Linked DNA regions of Stegostoma tigrinum. The protein of the gene in region 2 purifies or fractionates together with the protein of the main gene of each other region. This does not show direct contact. Links are inferred from orthologs where the notes say so. Each region holds a gene or a part of one and is shown on either strand. Other genes may lie near its edges.

Region 1 (9,963 bases), on a different chromosome or scaffold from region 2:
TCCAAGAAAGTTTTGCATCCCTGCATGTACTGTCAGGGCAGACAGCACGATACCTCTTCTCCAAAGCACTCCCATCCACAAGAAGCAGGCTTTTATGAAAGACTGCAAGCACCACCTCTAGATGGCGCAAAGTGGGCGTATTCACAAGAGATACCAAACATCATTTTGAAGGGACTGATAGCAACAGTCAGTCTCAAAAACGGTGGTGCCAAAAGTTTTGTACAATCCTGAACTCACATCGAGCACAGCCGGACTGACAGTTAATTTCAGAATTAGTAGTGAAGCCTGGCAGAGGTCTACATAGTAGTCTGGAATATAGGCAAGGAGCTTCAACCAGTTGGGGAAAACAGGTCCAGCCAAAGTCCTAGCAGCACTGTGAAGTCAGTATGTGTACCGACACTTACTGTGGCCTGCTTCAGACAGCTGACAACGTGGCTGTCTACTGATGGCATGATGGAAATCAGTTTATGAAAATTTCAACCAGGACACAAAGATATCACTGAATGACTTTTCTGCACCACAGTAACATGAGGAGCATCCTGAGCAATTTCACAAGTGTTCTGGTTTACATTCATTTGTGGAAATGAGTAATGAACTTTCTGTTAATGGGAAAATATATTGGCACAGTAAATTATGCAGGTTGCAAGTGTCTGAAATAACAATTCCCTCAAAATTTACTTAGTAGAAATGTATATCCACATTGTACAAATGTTGATTATAATCACACTTACCCTTGTTGAGCTGCAGCTTGAGTGTAGGTACTATAATCTATAAAAAGAAAGGATTTTTTTCCTCAACTAAATATATTAAGTTGCTTAAAGTAGGTTTCTTATTTTACAAAATAGAAGTGATAAAAATCTAGTAAAATATATGTTTGCACCACATCCATATGAAATATTACTTGCAGTTCACTAAAAAAAATTCACCAAAATACCATTAATTATCTTGACATGGTTGGGATCCCTTACTGCATTTCTAGACAATGAAACAGAACAGGAACAATTGTAATTCTTAGCAATATTTTTTTCTCACCCTTCAAGGAAGAAACTATTTGGGTAAGGAAACCAAAACACCTCAAAAAACTTTTGAAGTAAGACCATCTATATGGGTTTTGGTATACTTTGATTCAGTCAACAATCTCAACAAAAATCGTGTCAGAATGACTGAATACAGCTGCCAACACACAAGACAAAGCTGCATTGGGGCCAGAGATGATATCATGGAACAGTTATAATTGTGAATAACCATGTCAAGAGGTTAAGCTTAAAAGGCCAATATGACAATACAGATCTCTCAAATTCTGGTTTCCTTAGCTTTGTTTTCCATCATATTGGTCTCCAAATCAAAGCTACAGATGTATAGATCACAGCATCCTTAGCGTGGAAACAGGTCCTCTAGCCCAACAAGTCCACACCGAACCTCACAGCATTCCACCCAGACCTATCCCACTGTAACCCACCTAATCTATACATCCCTGGTCACTACAGTCAATTTAGTATGGCCAATCCACCTAGCCTGCATATCTCTGGACTGTGGGAGAAAACCCACACAGACATGGGGAGAACGGGCAAAACGGGCAAACTCCACACGGACAGTCACCTGAGGGAGGGACTGAACCTGGTTCCCTGGTGCTGTGAGGCACCAGTACCTCACTGAGCCACCATGCCGCCCCAAGTTATGTTGTTATTCAGTTGTTTATCCCAAACATTGCTTGTCTGATTCCCTTAGCCATTTTAAGTGACCTACATTTGCTAAGTTTGAAATTTCAAGCCAAAAGCTGTAAACTACTCGTCAATTTTCATTCACCAGAATTGCTCAATTATACATTTGCAGAGTATGGGAAGCCTTTGTACATCATTTTCACATCAAATCCATGGTGTGCACATTTGTATGCATTTGAATGTTACAAGAGAAAAAAGTCAGCATAAAAACCCATTGTATATGTATATTGCAACATTGCTTTGATTAAGAATTTAAGCCCCAAATCAACTTCCAAAACTGTATTGCTGCATTTGTACTTGTTAGCAATTCCTCCTACATCCAAGACACACAAAAGCTCGTAAGCATAGAAACTTACATGTATCAAAATCCTCTCCTTACTCCTTTACCAATGAATATATTTGAAATGAGATGCAACTATTAATTATTAGGTAGGTTTAACATACAATGAATGGCTGAGGATCCTGGGATTGTATTCATTAGAGTTTAGAAGGTTGAGGGGAGATCTAATAGAAACTCAAGATAATGTATGGCTTAGAAAGGATGGATGCTGGGAAGTTGTTTCCGTTAGGCGGGGAGACGAGCACCTGTGGGCACAGCCTTAGAATTAGAGGGGGTAGATTTAAAACAGCAATGAGGAGACATTTCTTCAGCCAGAAAGTGGTGGGCATGTGGAATTCACTGCCACCGAGTGCACTGGAGGCCGGGACGTTAAATGTCTTCAAGGCAGAGATCGATAAATTCTTGATCTCACAAAGGAATTAAGGGCTACAGGGTGAGTGCAGGGAAGTGGAGTTGAAACGCCCAGACATGATTAAATGGCAGAATGGACTCGATGGGCCGAATCGCTTTACTTCCACTCCCATGTCTTATGAAGCCTATAGAATCCTTTCCCCTTCCTCAACTTTCACCTGTTGAAATATTAGTATAGACAGCTTTTCAAAGAAAATTTATGCCTCCAACCAACCACAGTTATACATCTCATTTAGTTTTGGGCCCACTCCAGAAACCTGGTTAACTGTGGACACAACATATGTAGCTTTTACTGAGGTTTTTCTAATTTTGACTTCTAGGATGAGAAGCTGCCATCCACAGGTCCAGTAAAGCTCTAATTCGGTCAATCCTGCATTCATTGAATGATTACAACCAAAATAGTTTAAAGGTCAGTTTAAACTAATAACCAATTTCAGTAACAGCTTAAAGTCTATTTTTCCTTTCCCATAAGAACCCTCAATTCTGTACCCAAGTCCCAAGTAGAATAACTATCGATAATAAAGGCTTCCTCGTTCTCCACTGCAGCCCTTCCCAGTTTATTGATGAACACTAGACACCCATGGTCAATGCCACAGATGACAGGAGACTGACCCTTAAAAGTTTAAATTAGCAGGTCTCAACAAACGACACAAAGAATCAAAAGGCTCAATTTTTAGGATGCGAGGTGTAAGTAATTTTAGGAGCATTACTGGGCTAAACGTTTGAATTGTTTTATGTAGGCTTTATTCAGCAGTGAACGTACAAACTTGACTTTTTTTAATACCAAATCCCGGATATGAATGTAAAAATATACCACAGTCAAGACTTCAAATTTATTAAAAAAAAGAAAAAGTCACACAATGGCCAGCGATTTTCAATACCAGTAAAAGATATTGAAGAGGACGACGAAAGTCACCCCATGTTCTTTAACCGGAAACATGCAAATGTTGAGTTCCCACTAAAATCATTAGGACATTAGAGAGTTCACGATTAACCTTTGGTACGCTACCAGAGGGTAACGTATATGAACCCAAAAATTAAACCTTGCTGCATCCAAAAGTTACAGAATCAATTTGAACTAAGTCACACGCGGTCCCCACAGTACCGTCAAACAAAAAGAAATTTCAGATCCTATGCGCGACTCCATTTTGGCACAGTGCCAACAGTTAAAAACATTCTTTAAAAATGTAAAATGAGCCACGCCGATATAAAGAGCCGATCGGTTCGTAGCAAGTGTTGCGCGATTTTGGTGGGGTGGAAAAAAAATCGAACCGACTTTTCAAAAGTTGCAAAATCCCAAATGGTGCAGTTTTTAAAAAAAAATCAATTTAATCACACCAGATTCGAAAATACGTATAGAGGACTGGGGAGATGAATCTCTACGCAAAGTATTTGTTACGAAACGTTGTACTGGCTGACCCTCGCCCTCTTCTCCTTTCCCCACCCCGACTAGGCCTCGACGCTAACGGATCGCCAGGAAAGGGACACACTTCCGCCCCGTCGGTGAAAACTCCGCCTCGGAGTCTCCCAAGGGCGAGGGAGCGTGGCGGCAGTGGCAGCCGGTCAACACTAGCGGAGCGGGCCCGGCTTCGTCGTCGGCTTTCACACGTTGACCCCCGCAGCTTTGTGGCGCAGCTACGTTCCTGCGGGGGAGGTGCGCTCTCGCTCTCACACACACACACATCCCGAGGCCCCAACGGCTACAAGGCCGGCCAATCCACCAGCCTCCCTTTTCTTCACCCTCCCTCACCACTCCCCCCCCCCACCACCAACAAAAAAAAATCACCCGACACGCGATATCGGGGACTGAGGCCTAAACCCTCTTCCAATCTTTTCTAAAAAAAACGCCTCCTAGATGGTATCTTAAGTGGGGGGGGGGGGGGGGGGTGTGGGGAGAAGAAAGAAAAAAAACTCGATGTAATCGCCGGCGACCAACAACCCTTTTCAGAAAATAAAATAACACCGGTGGTGAGGTCGAAAGCAGAAAAGAACCGTTATCGTCCGGGGGTGGGTGGGGTAACCGGGCATACGACCCGAGCGCCTTTAAATCCGATGCCAACAGTTAGAGACTCCCTCTTACCCGTCGACGCCATCTTCACCGACCTCTGACTGCCTGCGAAACACGCCTGCGCGGAGCCCCGCCGGACTCAACCACTTAATTTGGCGCCTTGCGCAACTCGCGCCGGAAATGTTTTAATTCAAAAAAAAGGGCCTCGACTCCAATCGCCACGATCCCGCCCGAGTTCTCAAATTGTTACGCAGATATTACAGGTGGACACCGCCGACGACCCCTTCCCCTCTGCTTTACATAGGATTGTCAAAACGAAATTTAAAAAAAAACGATGATTACGAAAGAACGGGGCTGGCCTCTATCCGCCGATTCGCGGCCGAGGCTTTATGTTTAAATGTCTGCCTCCACGTCGCGCTATTTAAAGACAAGGCGGCGCACTGATGCGTCCAGCGTAACGCGGTAAACCGTTCGGGTAGAACAATGGAGGGAATGTAGCGCCTTGTTGATGGTTCCGGGCCGGTCGCGATGGAAACGCGGCCATTTCGCTTCAGCCACCATCACTATGCGTACCTCGTATCCCCGCTTCTCTTTTCTTTCGATTCTCTCCTCCATTGCGTTGGGCGCGCGGACATTATGTCTTTCCTCACGGGTTTGAAAGCGGGCTGAAATAAAACGCACCGTCTCCACTGTCATACAATCCGTAACCTTGCACGGAGGTTTTGTTTTAATATAATCAGATCCGCCATAACGTGGCTGTAGTAAAGACAACACCGCCCTTCACTCCTTCAAGTCTCCCTCCCTCTCTGCTCGACGCCAGTCAGCGATGCTCGGTCCTGTTGTGGGGTGTATCTCAGGGGTGTGGTGGGTGTCTCCACCCCGGTAAAGAGCCAACGAAGAGGGAGGCCGGTGATCGGGCACCGAGTAAGAAGGTCTTCGGAGGAACTCCACACCCACCCCGATATTATTATTATCATCATCATGATGTCGCGGCGACAATAATCAAGACATTTTCTTCTCCGACCCGCCGGGGGTTGGGATGGGACGCTGCGGCGACTGGGTGCGGGCCGGCCTCGGGGTGGCCCGAGTCAGGGCCCGGGTGCCGAGCGCCAGCGCCGCCTTCCTCGCCCTTGTTCTCTTGTTGTGGCTGACCGGGCCCGAGGAGGCTTTTACCCTGACAGCCAGCTCGGTGCTCTCTCACCGCCAAGGTAAGTGCCTCATCCTCATCCACCACCAAATTAGCAAATTTACTGGATGGTGGGACTAAATCCTAATCCGAGATAACTCCATAGCAAACTGTCCAAAACACACCGAGCCTCTGACTTGACGACCGGATTGGGCCAGAAATTCTGCCTGTAGTGTTTTGGACGAATACTTGGGTAAAAATAACGTGCAAGAGTATGAGAGGAGTAAAAATAGGTGACTGGTACTAAGAAAATGATGCCTGTTTGATGAGTTGGTGCAGGCAAAATGGATCGAATGGTCTCCGTCTACGCTGTAACACTTAATGTGAGTTGCATCCTAGTTTAGATGTTAAAAATGGTAAAGTTTGCTTCGGTTATCATTTATATGTGGAAATACAGTCATAGAGTTTTACAGCATAGTAGGACGCCCTTTGGCTCATTGTATCGATGTAGGTTCGTCAGGCACCTGTCTACTTTCGTCCTAATTCTCAGCACTTGGTCCGTAGCCTTGTATGCTGTGACACTTCAAGTGTACATCTAAACACATCTTAAATGTTGGCCACCGCCTTTCAGCCAGAGTTCCAAATACTCAATTTCCCTCTGCGTGACAAAATCTTCTGCTTAGATCTCTTTTAAAGCTCCTGCCCTTACCCTAAATTTGTGTTTCTTGTATTAAGGGGGAAAATATATTCCTATTGACCCCACCTGTGCCCTCCATAATTTGTATACTTCAACCAGGTCCTGCATCAGCCTTCTCTGCTCCAAGCAAAATGAATGAGTTGTCGGTGGAAATGGTGGAGGCTGGTACAATTATGACATTTAAAAGACATCTGGATGGATATAAGAATAGGAAGGATTTAGAGGGATATGGGCAAAATGCTGACAAATGGGACTAGATTAATTTAGGATATCTGGTTGGCGTGGACAAGTTAGACTGATACATTTGTTTCCGTGCTATACATTTCTATGATTCCAGAGATACAATTCCAGCTATGGTCTAACCTGCATCTGACACAGCTCCATCAAAACCTCCTTGTTCTTGTATTCACTACCTCACTCAATAAAGGCAAGAATCCCATATGCCGCCTTAACTATCCTATCCATCTGTATTGTTGCCTTCAAGGACCTATGAACATGCACAGGCCTACTTCATCATGTACTCCTTTACCTTGCTGTTCTTCCCAAAATACATGTGACATGCTTTTTGGCATTAAACCCAGTTTCTAACTTTTAGCCATTTGAGGAAACCAACCATATCTTCCCACAGTCTAAAGTTTTTGTCCTCACTGTTTACAACACTTGTTTTTTTTTGTTACCTACAAACTGATTAAATCACCAACATCCATGACTAAATCATTAATGCAAACTAACCTGTGGTATGTCACTGGACGAGACATTCAGTTGTAAGAACAACCTTCAATCAGCACCCTGTGTGTCCTGCCACTGAGCCAATTTTAAACTGCCCAGGATTTGAAGCATCCATCAATTTGAAAGGAAAGTGGAAAAGCAAATCTTTTAATTTTAGGAATACAGACATTTACTTGCCAGATTCCTTTTATATCCAGGAAATCTGAAATCAATATAATGTTCATTACCTTTCCCATACACTATAGTTCATTTGACATGTATTTATAGACCAACGATTATTACATTTTTATTGCATTCCTTGTAATATTGTATAAAGATGAAAATGGTTTACATGTATTTGGACTAAAGATGTTTAAAACACAGATGTGTCTGTGGCACTACTTTACTGAGCAATTAGAAGCTAATTCACAAATTCCGATTAAAGCTTTTCAATGCAAAATGCCCGCAGATTTCTCGACTCCTCAGTATTTTGTGCATTTTGTATTTCTGTATCAGGTTCCCAGCTGCAGCAGTATTTTGCACTGGCATAAATTAACCCCATAGCCCCTGGCTTTCTCCTTTGGAATGCTTTGCTGGCCCAAAGAAATTTACCCTAAAAATCCTAAAGAAGTACAAACAATTACTTTGGGCAAACAAGTGCCTGTTTGGCTGAATGATAACATTCTGATCTGCAAGTAAGGAACATAGAACATTACAGCACAGTACAGGCCCTTCGGCCCTCGATGTTGTGCCGACGTGTCATACCAATCTGAAGCCCATCTAACCTACACTATTCCATGTACATCCATATGCTTATCCAATGACGGCTTAAATGTACCTAAAGTTGGCAAATCTACTACTGTTGCAGGCAAAGCGTTCCATTCCCTTACTACTCTCTGAGTAAAGAAACTACCTCTGATATCTGTCCTATATCTTTCACCACTCAATTTAAAGCTATGCCCCCTCGTGCTCGCTGTCACCATCCTAGGAAAACGGCTTTCCCTATCCACCCTATCTAACTCTCTGATTATTTTATATGTTTCAATTAAGTCACCTCTGAACCTTCTTCTCTCTAATGAAAACAGCCTCAAGTGCCTCAGCGTTTCCTCGTAAGACCTTCCCTCCATACCAGGCAACATCCTAGTAAATCTCCTCTGCACCCTTTCCAAAGCTTCCACATCCTTCTTATAATGCGGTGACCAGAACTGTACACAATACTCCAAGTGCAGCCGCACCAGAGTTTTGTACAGCTGTGGCATAACCTCTTAAGTGGCAACTTTAAATGCCACATTTTCATTTTCTAGACTGACAATTCAGTGCGCTATTAAATGATCATCACATGATTGGAAATGTTCATTTTCGAGTGAGATCTTTCAGCTGGAGCTAAAATAGCTCATGGTAAAAGAAAACATAGTTGTGTTCCCAAATGTAGTGATCAATGTTTATTCTTCAACAGCAAAAACCCCAAATATATATTTCAAAGATAGTAAGAACTGCAGATGCTGGAGAATCTGAGATAACAAGATTAGAGCTGGATGAACACAGCAGGCCAAGCAGCATCAGAGGAGCAACGAAGCTGACGTTTCAGGCCTAGTCCGTTTTTCAGAAATGGGGGAGGGAACGGGGTTCTGAAATAAATAGGGAGAGAGGGAGAGGTGCATGGAGGGGGAAGATAGGTGGAGAGGAGACAGACAGGTCAAAGAGGTAGGGATGGAGCCAGTAAAGGTGAGCATAGGTGGGGAGTTAGGGAGGTCAGTCCAGGGAGGAGGGACAGGTCAAGGGTGTGGGATGAGGCTGAGGTTTTCTGGATGATCAGTTATTTTGATAGAGACAAAACTCTCTAGACTCAACAATTGGAGGTAATAGATTTAAAGTTATTGCGGTAAGAAGAGCGAAGATGTGGATTTTTCTTTTAGTTTTCAGTGTCTGGAATGCTCTACCTCCGCAGGTGATGGAAGCTGATTCATAAATAAATATAAATATAACCATACTAGAGGATAAATAAGGGTTATGGGATTTTAAAAAAAACATGGGGGTTTAAAAATGTCTGCTCTTTCAAGGACAGGCCAAATGGCTTCCTTCTGTGTTGTAAGTTCCTATGATCAAACAGACTATACTTCCCGAATAATGAATGAGCTACAAGATACTTTCAGCCATTCTGAAGATGTGTCTGTCTGCTATAAGTGCAAATTCTTTCACTGTCAGAGTAGATAAATACAGCAAGAAAATTATGCAGAGTAAAGTTGCAAAGGAAGTAAGTTAATTAGCAGTTCCTTGTTTGTGGTGTTGGTTGAAAGATGAATTAGGAGAACTTCCTCCTGGTTTACTGTAGAATCTTCTGCTCGATTTTTAGCGGATAGGTGTTAAATAGTGCGACAAAGTCTCACTAATGAGCAGCGAGAGGCTCATTTGCTTGCATTAACATCTTTTTATTACTTAATTTCATTTCATTAATATTTAGTTTTCCATTCTCCCGTCTGCCAAGTAGAAACTAGTCGATGAGAATTCCCAACATGAAAATATGACCTAGTGATTTAAGCTTGCAGCTTGTTCTTCCAGACCTCCATCTTGGACACCAGTCGCCAGTATCTCAAGACATACTTCATGAACAGTGATTGCACATGGTCCACGAGCACAGACCTTGGCATCCAAAATGTACCAGCCTCACCACATCATCATGGCACATCTCCCATGCACTTAGAATATAATTCTACACTTCAGTGCTATACTTTAGAGCACACCAGCACCTCTCATTGTAACACATCTTCAATGACACTATGTGTTGAAGTATGGGCACCCACCTCATGGATTTAACGAGTACGTCACAGAGATACTTCCTCAATTTCTTAGTGCTCGCTCATTTCACACCCAATTCGAAGCTCGCAGCACTGTTGCCTTGCCTTTTTGTCATTTTCACCTTCAGGGCCTAAATGCTCATTGATATTCTGTCCT
Region 2 (10,356 bases):
ACTGAGGGAGCACTGCACTGTCAGAGGGTCAGTACTGAGGGAGCGCTGCACTGTCAGAGGGTCAGTACTGAGGGAGCGCTGCACTGTCAGAGGGTCAGTACTGAGGGAGTGCTGCACTGTCAGAGGGTCAGTACTGAGGGAGTGCTGCACTGTCAGAGGGTCAGTACTGAGGGAGCGCCGCAGTGTCAGAGGGTCAGTGCTCAGGGAATACTGCACTGTCAGAGGGTCAGTGCTGAGGGAGTGCTGCACTGTCAGAGAGTCAGTGCTGAGGGAGTGCTGCACTGTCAGAGGGTCAGTACTGAGGGAGCGCTGCACTGGCAGTGGGTCAGTGCTCAGGGAATACTGCACTGTCAGAGGGTCAGTGCTGAGGGAGTGCTGCACTGTCAGAGGGTCAGTGCTGAGGGAGCGCTGCACTGTCAGAGGGTCAGTACTGAGGGAGTGCTGCACTGTCAGAGGGTCAGTACTGAGGGAGCACTGCACTGTCAGAGGGTCAGTACTGAGGGAGCGCCGCACTGTCAGAGGGTCAGTGCTGAGGGAGCGCTGCACTGTCAGAGGGTCAGTACTGAGGGAGTGCTGCACTGTCAGAGGGTCAGTACTGAGGGTGTGCTGCACTGTCAGAGGGTCAGTGCTGAGGGAGCGCTGTACTGTCAGAGGGTCAGTACTGAGGGAGCGCTGCACTGTCAGAGGGTCAGTACTGAGGGAGCGCTGCACTGTCAGAGGGTCAGTACTGAGGGAGTGCTGCACTGTCAGAGGGTCAGTGCTGAGGGAGCGCTGTACTGTCAGAGGGTCAGTACTGAGGGAGCGCTGCACTGTCAGAGGGTCAGTACTGAGGGAGCGCTGCACTGTCAGAGGGTCAGTACTGAGGGAGTGCTGCACTGTCAGAGGGTCAGTACTGAGGGAGTGCTGCAGTGTCAGAGGGTCAGTACTGAGGGAGTGCTGCACTGTCAGAGGGTCAGTACTGAGGGAGCGCTGTACTGTCAGAGGGTCAGTACTGAGGGAGCGCTGCACTGTCTGAGGGTCAGTACTGAGGGAGCGCTGCACTGTCAGAGGGTCAGTACTGAGGGAGTGCTACAGTGTCAGAGGGTCAGTACGGAGGGAGCGCTGCACTGTCAGAGGGTCAGTACTGAGGGAGCACCGCACTGTCAGAGGGTCAGTACTGAGGGAGCGCTGCACTGTCAGTGGGTCAGTACTGAGGGAGTGCTGCACTGTCAGAGGGTCAGTACTGAGGGAGTGCTGCACTGTCAGAGGGTCAGTACTGAGGGAGTGCAGCACTGTCAGAGGGTCAGTACTGAGGGAGTGCTGCACTGTCAGAGGGTCAGTACTGAGGGAGTGCTGCACTGTCAGATGGTCAGTGCTGAGGGAGTGCTGCACTGTCAGAGGGTCAGTACTGAGGGAGTGCAGCACTGTCAGAGGGTCAGTACTGAGGGAGCGCTGCACTGTCAGAGGGTCAGTGCTGAGGGAGTGCTGCACTGTCAGAGGGTCAGTACTGAGGGAGCACTGCACTGTCGGAGGGTCAGTGCTGAGGGAGCGCTGCACTGTCAGAGGGTCAGTACTGAGGGAGTGCTGCACTGTCAGAGGGTCAGTACTGAGGGAGCACCACGTTGTTGGAGGGTCAGAACCGAAAGAGTGGCCCACCATTGGAGGGTCAGTACTGAGGGAGTGCAGCACGGTCAGAGGATCAATACTGAGCAAGTTTGCTCTGGTATTGGATCAGTGCTGCATTGTTAGGTACTGAGGGAGCACTGCACTGTCATTCAACAAAAATAAGTTAGGGGAAGCAGTGGCCTGGTGGTTTTATCATTGGACGGTTAATTCAGAGACCGATTTAATATTCTGGGGACCCAGGTTTGAATCCTGCCACAACAGATGGTGGAATTTGAATTCAATAAATATCTGTAATTAAGAGCCTGTTGGTGATGAATCCATTGTCAATTGCCAGGAAAGACCCATCTGATTCACTAATGTCCTTTAGGGAAGGAAACTGCCCTCCTTACCTGGTCTGGCTTACATGTGACTCCAGATCCACAGCAATGTGGTTGACTCTTAACTGCCCTCTGGGCAATTAGTGATGGGCCATAAATGCTGCCCTGATCAGCGACGCCCTCATCCCGTGACTGAATAAAATAAAACAAAAGTAAGTGAAATTTATCTGAGTTGTTTTGTGCAACTTTAATTTTTAATTTACATCATTGAGCAGGCTGGTGTGTGTAATTGGTTGTCTGTGTTTCAGGAGACCCAAGTGCTCAAAGGTGGAACACGCATATTTTTGCTCATTTTGAGACTGAGAATTGAGCTTCTTTCAGTCACATTGTTGACCCCAGCAGACTCCTTGCAGAGAGTGGGATTGTTTTACTGTTGGTCCAGAATTTCATTGAGTTACCATTACAGAGCTAAGCCACTCTTTGATCTGAAGTCAAGCAACACCAGGTTATAGTCCAACAGGTTTATTTGAAATCGCAAGCTTTCAGAGCTCTGCTCCCTTATCTCGTGACAAAGGAGCAGTGCTTTGAAAGCTTGTGATTTCAAATAAACCTGTTGGACTATAACCTGGTGTAGTGTGGCTCCTGACCTTGTCTATCCCAGTCCAACACCAGTGCCTCCACATCAGTCTTTGATCTTTACACGGGCATCGCTTGAGTTTGATAGCCCTCCATAACTGCTATTGAACTGAGGATAATTAAGACCATGTTTTTGTGGGCCAGGAGTTGCATGGAGGCGAGACCACGTTCACTTCTTCTCTATTGGCCATTCATGAAACAGATGGGTTTTTACAACAATTGATGATAGCTTTATGGTCGCCATTGCTGACTGAGATGAGCTTTCAATTCTAGATTAATTTATTGAATTCAAATTCCGCCAGCTGCCATAGTTTATATGAGCCAGCATCCCCAGAGCATTAAGCTGGCATGTGACTTACACTCCAGTGACAATCACTGCTGTGTCACAAACATACCCTATTTTGGTGTAGGTGCAGCTTGTACTGCACCATCACTGCAGCCCCTCACCCTACTCTAGCCTCACTACATTCATCTATTCCCCCATTTCTTTCCACTCTGGTTCTGTGGTATCCCTTTATCTGCATCTATGCTATTCACCTCAAACTTATGCTACAGCAGCAAATTCCACATTCTGGGTTCCAACTCCCTCCACCTTCTACTTATCAGGACCATGTTTAGCTTTCTGTACTAAAGGATTTCTATTTTGTAAGTACGTATTGCACTGATATGTAAGATTTGTGCCTTTGCTCTGATTTTACAGGTTTGGAGAATCATGCTTCATTTGCTGTTTGTACAGAACAAAAATGGACCAGTGCTGACAACTGAGCTCCTTCACTCTGACAGTATATTAATTGCTACAGAGTTCCTTTAGACCGAGTTAAAAATTATTGAAGCTTTATATCTATGTTCAAGAATGCTGAGACAATATTATTCACAAATCATTTATAAACCAACCTGCTTTTCTGACCTTGCATGCTGCTGTACCACTGACTAAACCTTCACTTTAATGAAGATATTGCCTGATAGCTTTGGTTAAAATTTAACCTGAGATCCAGTCTTGCAAAGGATCTGCAGTACCATCTTAAACTGCATCAGATGGAACCTGTACGCCCACTTACTGATTTCAGTACAAACGTGAATGAGAATATGTATAAAGTGTTAATTTCACATATTGAAGTTGCTGCTATTCTGATCTCTGGACTGATTTTTTTTTAAAATTCACACATGGAATGTAGGTAACACTCACTGGGTCAACATCAATTGCCCATCCCTAATTTCCCTTCAGATGATGGTGGTGTGCTGCCTTCTCTGAACCTCTGGAGTCCATGGTAGGCCCGTAATGCCCTTAGGAAGGGAATTCCAGGATTTTGACACAATGAATGAACAGAGATGTATTTCCATTTCAAGAAGGCAAGTGACTTGGAGGAAACTTGCAGCTGGTGGTGTTCCCATGTATCTGTTGCCCTCTTCTTTCTAGATGGAATTGGTTGAGGGTTTGCTGTCTAAGGCTCCATGCTGATCATCTGTTGTGCATCTTGTCAATGGTACTTACTGCAGCTACTAAGCATCAGAGGTGGAGGGAATGGATGCTTGTGAAGGCAGTGCCAATTAAATGGGCTGCTTTGTCCTGGCTGGTGTCAAGCTTCCTGAGTGTTGTTGGAGCTGTAGTCATCCAGGCAAGTGGGGAGTATTCCATCACGCTGCTGACTTGTGCCATGTAGATGGTGGAAAGGCTTTGAGGCATCAGGAGGTGAGTTACGTGTTCGTTTTAATTTGTTGTCGTGTGAATTTATTGCAAATACAGTGAGAAGTTGCCACTATCCAGCACCATCTTAAAACACCGAAAATAAACTGAAAAACAGAATATAATGCCAGAAAAGTAAAACAATAAAGTTCATCTTATAGTCTCATCTCAATAAAGTAAGGCGGCCTTTTCATCTCCTGCTTCCAGCTCAGCCATAGGCCTGGATCCAGGCTCCTCCACCCTGATGCCTCGACTCTATGCTGCTAAACGCTGCAGAAACTGTGTGCTTGGCCGCTGCCTCCCCGGGGACAAAGAGCTGTCACTCTCCTCGCCAACTCGCCTCCACTAACCCAGCACCTCCGTGTGCTCACACTGGGCCAACATCGCTGATGCAGCTCCGGCCAGCACAGCTGGGTCCCGCGCTGGGACCAAACTTGTTGCAGCTACCCCCATCAAGTGCTGAGGCCTAGCCACTGACCTCAGCTCAGCCTGCTCGCCTGGACCAGGGGATTAAGTCTCGGGCCTGCTGCTCACAGCTCGTGTTGCAGTCTTCTGGTCTTCTGTTGTAGCCACTGTGTTTATGTGGCAAGTCCAGTTGATTTTCTGGTTAATGATAATTCCCAGGATGTTGACAATAGGGGAATCAGGTCAATTCCTGCTACACTGGTTTTAGCAATTGATGATTAACTCTTCTGTACTAACTGCCTCAATCACTATGTAAACTCACTCACTCACACGATTGTCTCACTGATGTTTTTGATGTCAGTTATTCAGAACTTAACAAATTGTTGCTAGTCTCGTCTGTTTGGTCCTTTGAACCTGCTGCATCATTCAAAGGGGTAATTGCTGATCAGCTCACTCAACTCAGCCTTCCCACGCTTTCCCCTTGATTAGAGTCCAAAAATCTGTGGACTTCTGTTTTAGACATACCTTAACCTCAAGGCATTGCAATGAAGATTCACCAGGCTGATTGGCCTATGAATAGAGAAGGCATACATTTGCTAGAGTGTAGAAGAATGACAGGTGATCTCATTGAAATATTAAGTGTCTTCTCAAGGATAGATATTGAGAAAATGTTTTCCTTGCCTGGGAAGTTAATAATGTAAGGTCACAGTCTCAGGACTGAGATGAGGAATTTCTTCGGAGCTTCCACAGGTCTCTGGGGCACAGAATTCCATCGAACCAGCCCTCCTGAGTGAAGAAATTCTTCCTCATCACACTGTACTCCCGAGTGTGATCTTCCTATGTGTTCTGTATAATTGCAGTAAGGACATTTAACCAGGAGGTGGAGTCAGGTACCTCTTCCAGAATCAAGGTTTCTGTTAACTACGAGCGTTATTATTAATCAAACTGTTCAGAGATATTATGATACGCTGCTGATCCAGGGAGGCTTAAACTGAGATTTCCTGGCTCAGAGGTAGAGACACTACCACTGCATTATAAGAACTGATTTCTGCTCAATAATTACACAACTGCTCCGTATATATTTATCCCTCAATCTGTTGCACCCACTGATCTAATTAAACATGCAACAATGTCACACCTTTCAAGAGATGCCTATTCCTGAGAGCATGTGTTAAACTATAACTAAATTAAGCAAAGATTTGCTTGTGAGAAATAGTAATGTGAAATGCTGAACTGTACTATAAATGATTTTAAAAAGGAATGCGTCTTCACATTAAGTTCCATTTCAAATATTTAATTTTTTTAGTTTATTAGTTGTCAGGTACTGACCCCAGCTGTTGGCCATATTGTTCAAGTCAGGGCCCAGTGAAACCTGGCTTGATAGATCATAAATTTTATTCTTGAATAGAGTCATAGAGTAATACAGCCCAGAAACAGGCCCTTCAGCCCAAACTTGTCCATGCTGACCATGTACCCACTCAGGTGGTTCCAGTTGCCACATTTAGTCCATATCCCTCTAAACCCTTCTCATCCATGTACTGTCCAGATGTTTTTTAAATGCTGCTCTTGTACCTGTCTCAATCACTTTCTCCGGCAGCCTGTTCCATATATGCACCATTCTCTACGCGAAGAAGTCATCCCTCAGGTCCTTTCTAAATCTTTCCCCTCTCACCTTAAACCTCTGCCCTCTAGTTTTCAATTCCCCATCCCTGAGAAAAAAGACTACATGCGTTCATCCTGTCTATGCCCCTCTTGATGTTATACACCTCCCTGGCCACCCCTCATTCCCCTACATTCCAAGGAATAAAATCCTATCCCGGCCAACCTCTCCGTATAATTCAGGCCTACTAGTCCTGGCAACATTCTCGTAAATCTTTGCACACTTTTCAATTTAACTATGTCTTTTCTGTCACAAATGACCAAAACTGTACACAATACTCCAAGTGCGGCCTCACTGATGACTTACACAACTATAACATAACGTCCCAACTCCTATACTCAGTGCGTTGACTGATGAAGGCCAGCATGCTAAACGCATTCTCCACCACTCTGTCCACCTGTGATGCTGCTTTCACAAACTATGTGCTTGATGTTTGTGGTTAGAATTTTGGTTAATCCGTGAACATGTTCACTTGAGGCTGTCAATGTACTTTTAACACAAAAAGATTTTACGTGAAAGCAAAATAAAATTATAAATATAAATGACAATTTAGAAAAACCATTACCTAAACATCCCTCTTCCCCTTTCACTCAGTTCCAATGAAGTTGCACATCTGCCATCACTTTAAGATTTCTTACTCAACTGAATTCTTCCTGATGGCCTGAACTCTTTAAAATTCGGACAGCTTAAAACGTTTGTATAAACTCCTACAGCTTGGAGACTTCGCAAATGAACATTCTCTTCTGCAGATATGAAGCTAAACTTGTGAACTCAAATCTGATTCTAGCCTATGTCCACCTGCCTTTCAGTAGTCATAAAAGTTTCCATTTGCTCTGCCGATAACTTGCTGGTTACGCAACTTAAACCCTATACATCTTGAAAGTTACATTTTAATTTCCTGTTTAAAAATGACTTTCTGACCTTTTTAAAAAAAGTCACATTCACAGAACTGAAACCAAAACTATTTACACACACGCACACTCACACAAGGTCAGGAATAGCACCTCATATTTTGCTTGGGAATGCTGCAGCCCAGCGTTATCAATGTGGACTTCACAAGCTTCAAAATCTCCCCTTCCCCTACTGCATTCCTAAACCAGCCCAGTTCATCCCTGCCTCCCCAACCTGTCCTATCCTCCCACCTCAAGCTCCACCCCACCTCCTATCTACTAACTTCCCCATCCCCTTGATCTGTCCGTCCTCCCTGGACTGACTTATCTCCTCTCTACCTCCCCACCTACACTCACCTTTACTGGCTCCATCCCTGCCTTTTTGACCTGTCTGTCTCCTCTCCACCTATCTTCTCCTCTATCCATCTTCTATCCAACTCCCCCGGTCTCCCTATTTATTTCAGAATCCCCTTCCCCTCCCTCATTTCTGAAGAAGGGTCTAGGCCGGAAACGTCAGCCTTCCTGCTCCTCTGATGCTGCTTGGCCTGCTGTAATCATCCAGCTCTACACCTTGTTATCTCTTAATTGTAATCATTGTTGGATACTTCACTGCTGTGCTGTGGATTGCTACATTATCTTTTTACTGTTTGAGGTGAGGATAGTGATGTTGATTGTCTGTGGTTCAGGCAGGTTTGTGGGTGACTTTTAGGGTCAAACAGTACCTGGAAGATATAAGTTGCATTTCTGCATAGGGATATTTTGAATCACAGACTGCTTTAAAGAAATTCAGAGGAGAGCTCCTCCCATCAGTAACAACTTTCAGAGGTATTGGCTAAAATCAGTGCCAACTTGGTGTCGTCTGAGGCAATATTAGGGAGGGTGAGCAATTAGGATACTGATTAGGAGATAGATCACCTGATGAAAGATGGCAGGGAGGCTGTACACTGCACTGGCAACCCTGCTGGGAGAGGTGGGTGCCGCTGAGATAGGTGTGAGACAGCTTTTACTCTGCAGAGTGGAAGGATCCTCTGAGGAATTGCAAATGATTTGAAATGATTCATCACCACAGTTGCCAGCCCTGCCTTGTAAGAATGCTCTGGGGGGAATTTAAACATGAGGTGTCGGGGGTGAAATATAGGAGGGTAAATCAACAGGTTTTGTGAGTGGACAGAAATTTGGCAGATGGAGTCTTACCTGGGAAAATGTGAAGTTGTTCACCTTAGCAGGAAGATTAGATAAGAAATATAGTATATAAATGGATATAGGGGTTGCAAAACTTGGTGATACAGAAGGATGTGGATATCCTGGTACATGAAGCTCTTGATGTTAATATGCAACTGCTGCAAGTGATTAGACATACAATTAGATGATTGATATTTACTACAACGGGAATGCAATGTACAGGTAGGAAATTCTGTTCCCTAGAGAGCAGTGGAGGTTAGGCCATTAAATTCATTCAACACAGATTTCTCATAGACAAGAGAGGGGAGAGTTATTGGGAAAGGGGTCAGATGGGAAAGAGTAGTTGGGGCCGCAACCAGATTAGCCTTGACCTTAACTGAATGGTGGAGCAGGCTGAAAAGGTCTCCTGCTCCTGTGTCGAGTTCCTATATTCCCTCTTCTACCGATCATGTTGCTCATTCCATGTTTTACCCTCAACAGAGCAAAGCCATCTTAGTAATCAAATGCTCAATCAATCTGCCCTAATGACTGATTCCTGACAACAATGGATGTTCCCACTGATAGGATGGTTAGGATAATATAGTTGAGAGTTCCTGGGTAGCTGTTTGATAATAGCCACATGTTGAGCAAGTCGTTGGAGAAATAAGAAGAAAAAGAAACTAACTGTAGTGGTCTTTCAAGGAATCACAATCTTACTTAACGTTGGAGCACATTTGAAGGGCCAAATAGCCTTCTCCAATTCCTAATCCTTTATTAAATGAAATGTGGTGATGTCACTGGCATTAAAATAGGACAGTCAGTTAGTGCCCACCACTCAGTGCCCAGCAGTGCCCAACTCTCAACTTCCAGTCCCCAAAACTGAGGAATATGATGTTATCCATAATATGTACTGTACCACATGTGATTTGAACAAAGCAGTTTGAATGTACAGCCAAGTACACTTTCTGTATATGATGGTTGAACATTGCAGCTCATCATTGCAGTAAATAGCAGATTGTACGTAACTAATAGCCCCACATTGAAACATCTGAAAGTTGCAGCAATTCCCTCCAATGAGAAATTGTGAATTCTTGAATTAATGTCAAGCTCATTATTTTACCACCTCCATATTTTGCAATGAAACCCAAGGAAAAGTAAAGCTCCCTCAAAAGATGGAAGAGCTCAATAGATCAGTCAGCGTAAGGGAGAGAATAAAGTTCACGTTTCAGGGGTTGAAGTTCGTTAGAATAAACTGTGATGTTTCTCTAGAATTTTCTTTCTCATTTCAGAATTCTGGCATCTGGAGGCTTTTTGGATCCTAAGCCAAAACATTTGAATTTTCAACAGAGGAACCAGGCTCATTTACAGTTACCTCAGTGGTAACTACCCTCCTGATGTGGTCACTCCTCTCCCAAATTCTGTAATCTCCTCTAATCCTGGCCTCTTTACCACTCTCTGTCTCTCCAACTTTCTTCCCTCCTTTACAAAACTTCTGAAAACATACCTCTTTGGTAAGTGGTTGGTCATAGAGTCATAGAATCATACAGCACAGAAACAGACCCTTAGGTCCAACTCATCCATGCCAACCATAATCCCAAACTATAGAAGCTCCACTTGTCTGCAGTTGATCCATATCCCTCCAACCATTTCTCGTTCATGTACTTAATCAAATGGCTTTCAAATCTGGTAGCTGTAACGGCACCCACCACTCCTTCTGGAAGTTTATTCCACACACAAACCATGCTGTGTAAAAAAATTGCCCTCGTCTTTTTTAAATCTTTCTCCTCTCCCCTTAAAAAATATCCCGCTTTAAATGGCCCACTCTGGGGAAAAGACACCTGCCATTCACCTTATCTATATCCCTCATGATTTTATAAACCCTTATAAGAGTCACTTCTCAACCTCCAATGCTCAGTGAAAAAAAATCCAGATAATCCAGCCTCTCCTTATAGCTCAAACCCTCTATTCCCAGAAACATCTTTGTATATCTCTTCTGAA

The links. The genes of interacting proteins can lie anywhere in the genome.
Region 1: the proteins of protein arginine N-methyltransferase 8-like (region 2) and RNA-binding protein EWS-like purify together in Homo sapiens (affinity purification with mass spectrometry; 3 studies listed by BioGRID and IntAct, counting the BioPlex papers as one, with this or other methods). This does not show direct contact. The link is inferred for Stegostoma tigrinum from reciprocal best matches to the Homo sapiens genes PRMT8 and EWSR1.

What each region holds. Positions count from the first base shown.
Region 1 is NC_081379.1:21,257,641-21,267,603, forward strand, and holds the start of RNA-binding protein EWS-like, read right to left. Parts: upstream 4,897-9,963; 5' UTR 4,566-4,896; coding exon 4,553-4,565; intron 769-4,552; coding exon 732-768; intron 1-731. Other genes in the region: rhbdd3 (rhomboid domain-containing protein 3), read left to right, coding at 5,520-5,688. UniProt on the Homo sapiens protein: Binds to ssRNA containing the consensus sequence 5'-AGGUAA-3'. Might normally function as a transcriptional repressor. EWS-fusion-proteins (EFPS) may play a role in the tumorigenic process.
Region 2 is NC_081371.1:47,536,173-47,546,528, forward strand, and holds the start of protein arginine N-methyltransferase 8-like, read right to left. Parts: upstream 4,812-10,356; 5' UTR 3,745-4,811; intron 2,115-3,744; 5' UTR 1,995-2,114; intron 1-1,994. UniProt on the Homo sapiens protein: S-adenosyl-L-methionine-dependent and membrane-associated arginine methyltransferase that can both catalyze the formation of omega-N monomethylarginine (MMA) and asymmetrical dimethylarginine (aDMA) in proteins such as NIFK, myelin basic protein, histone H4, H2A and H2A/H2B dimer.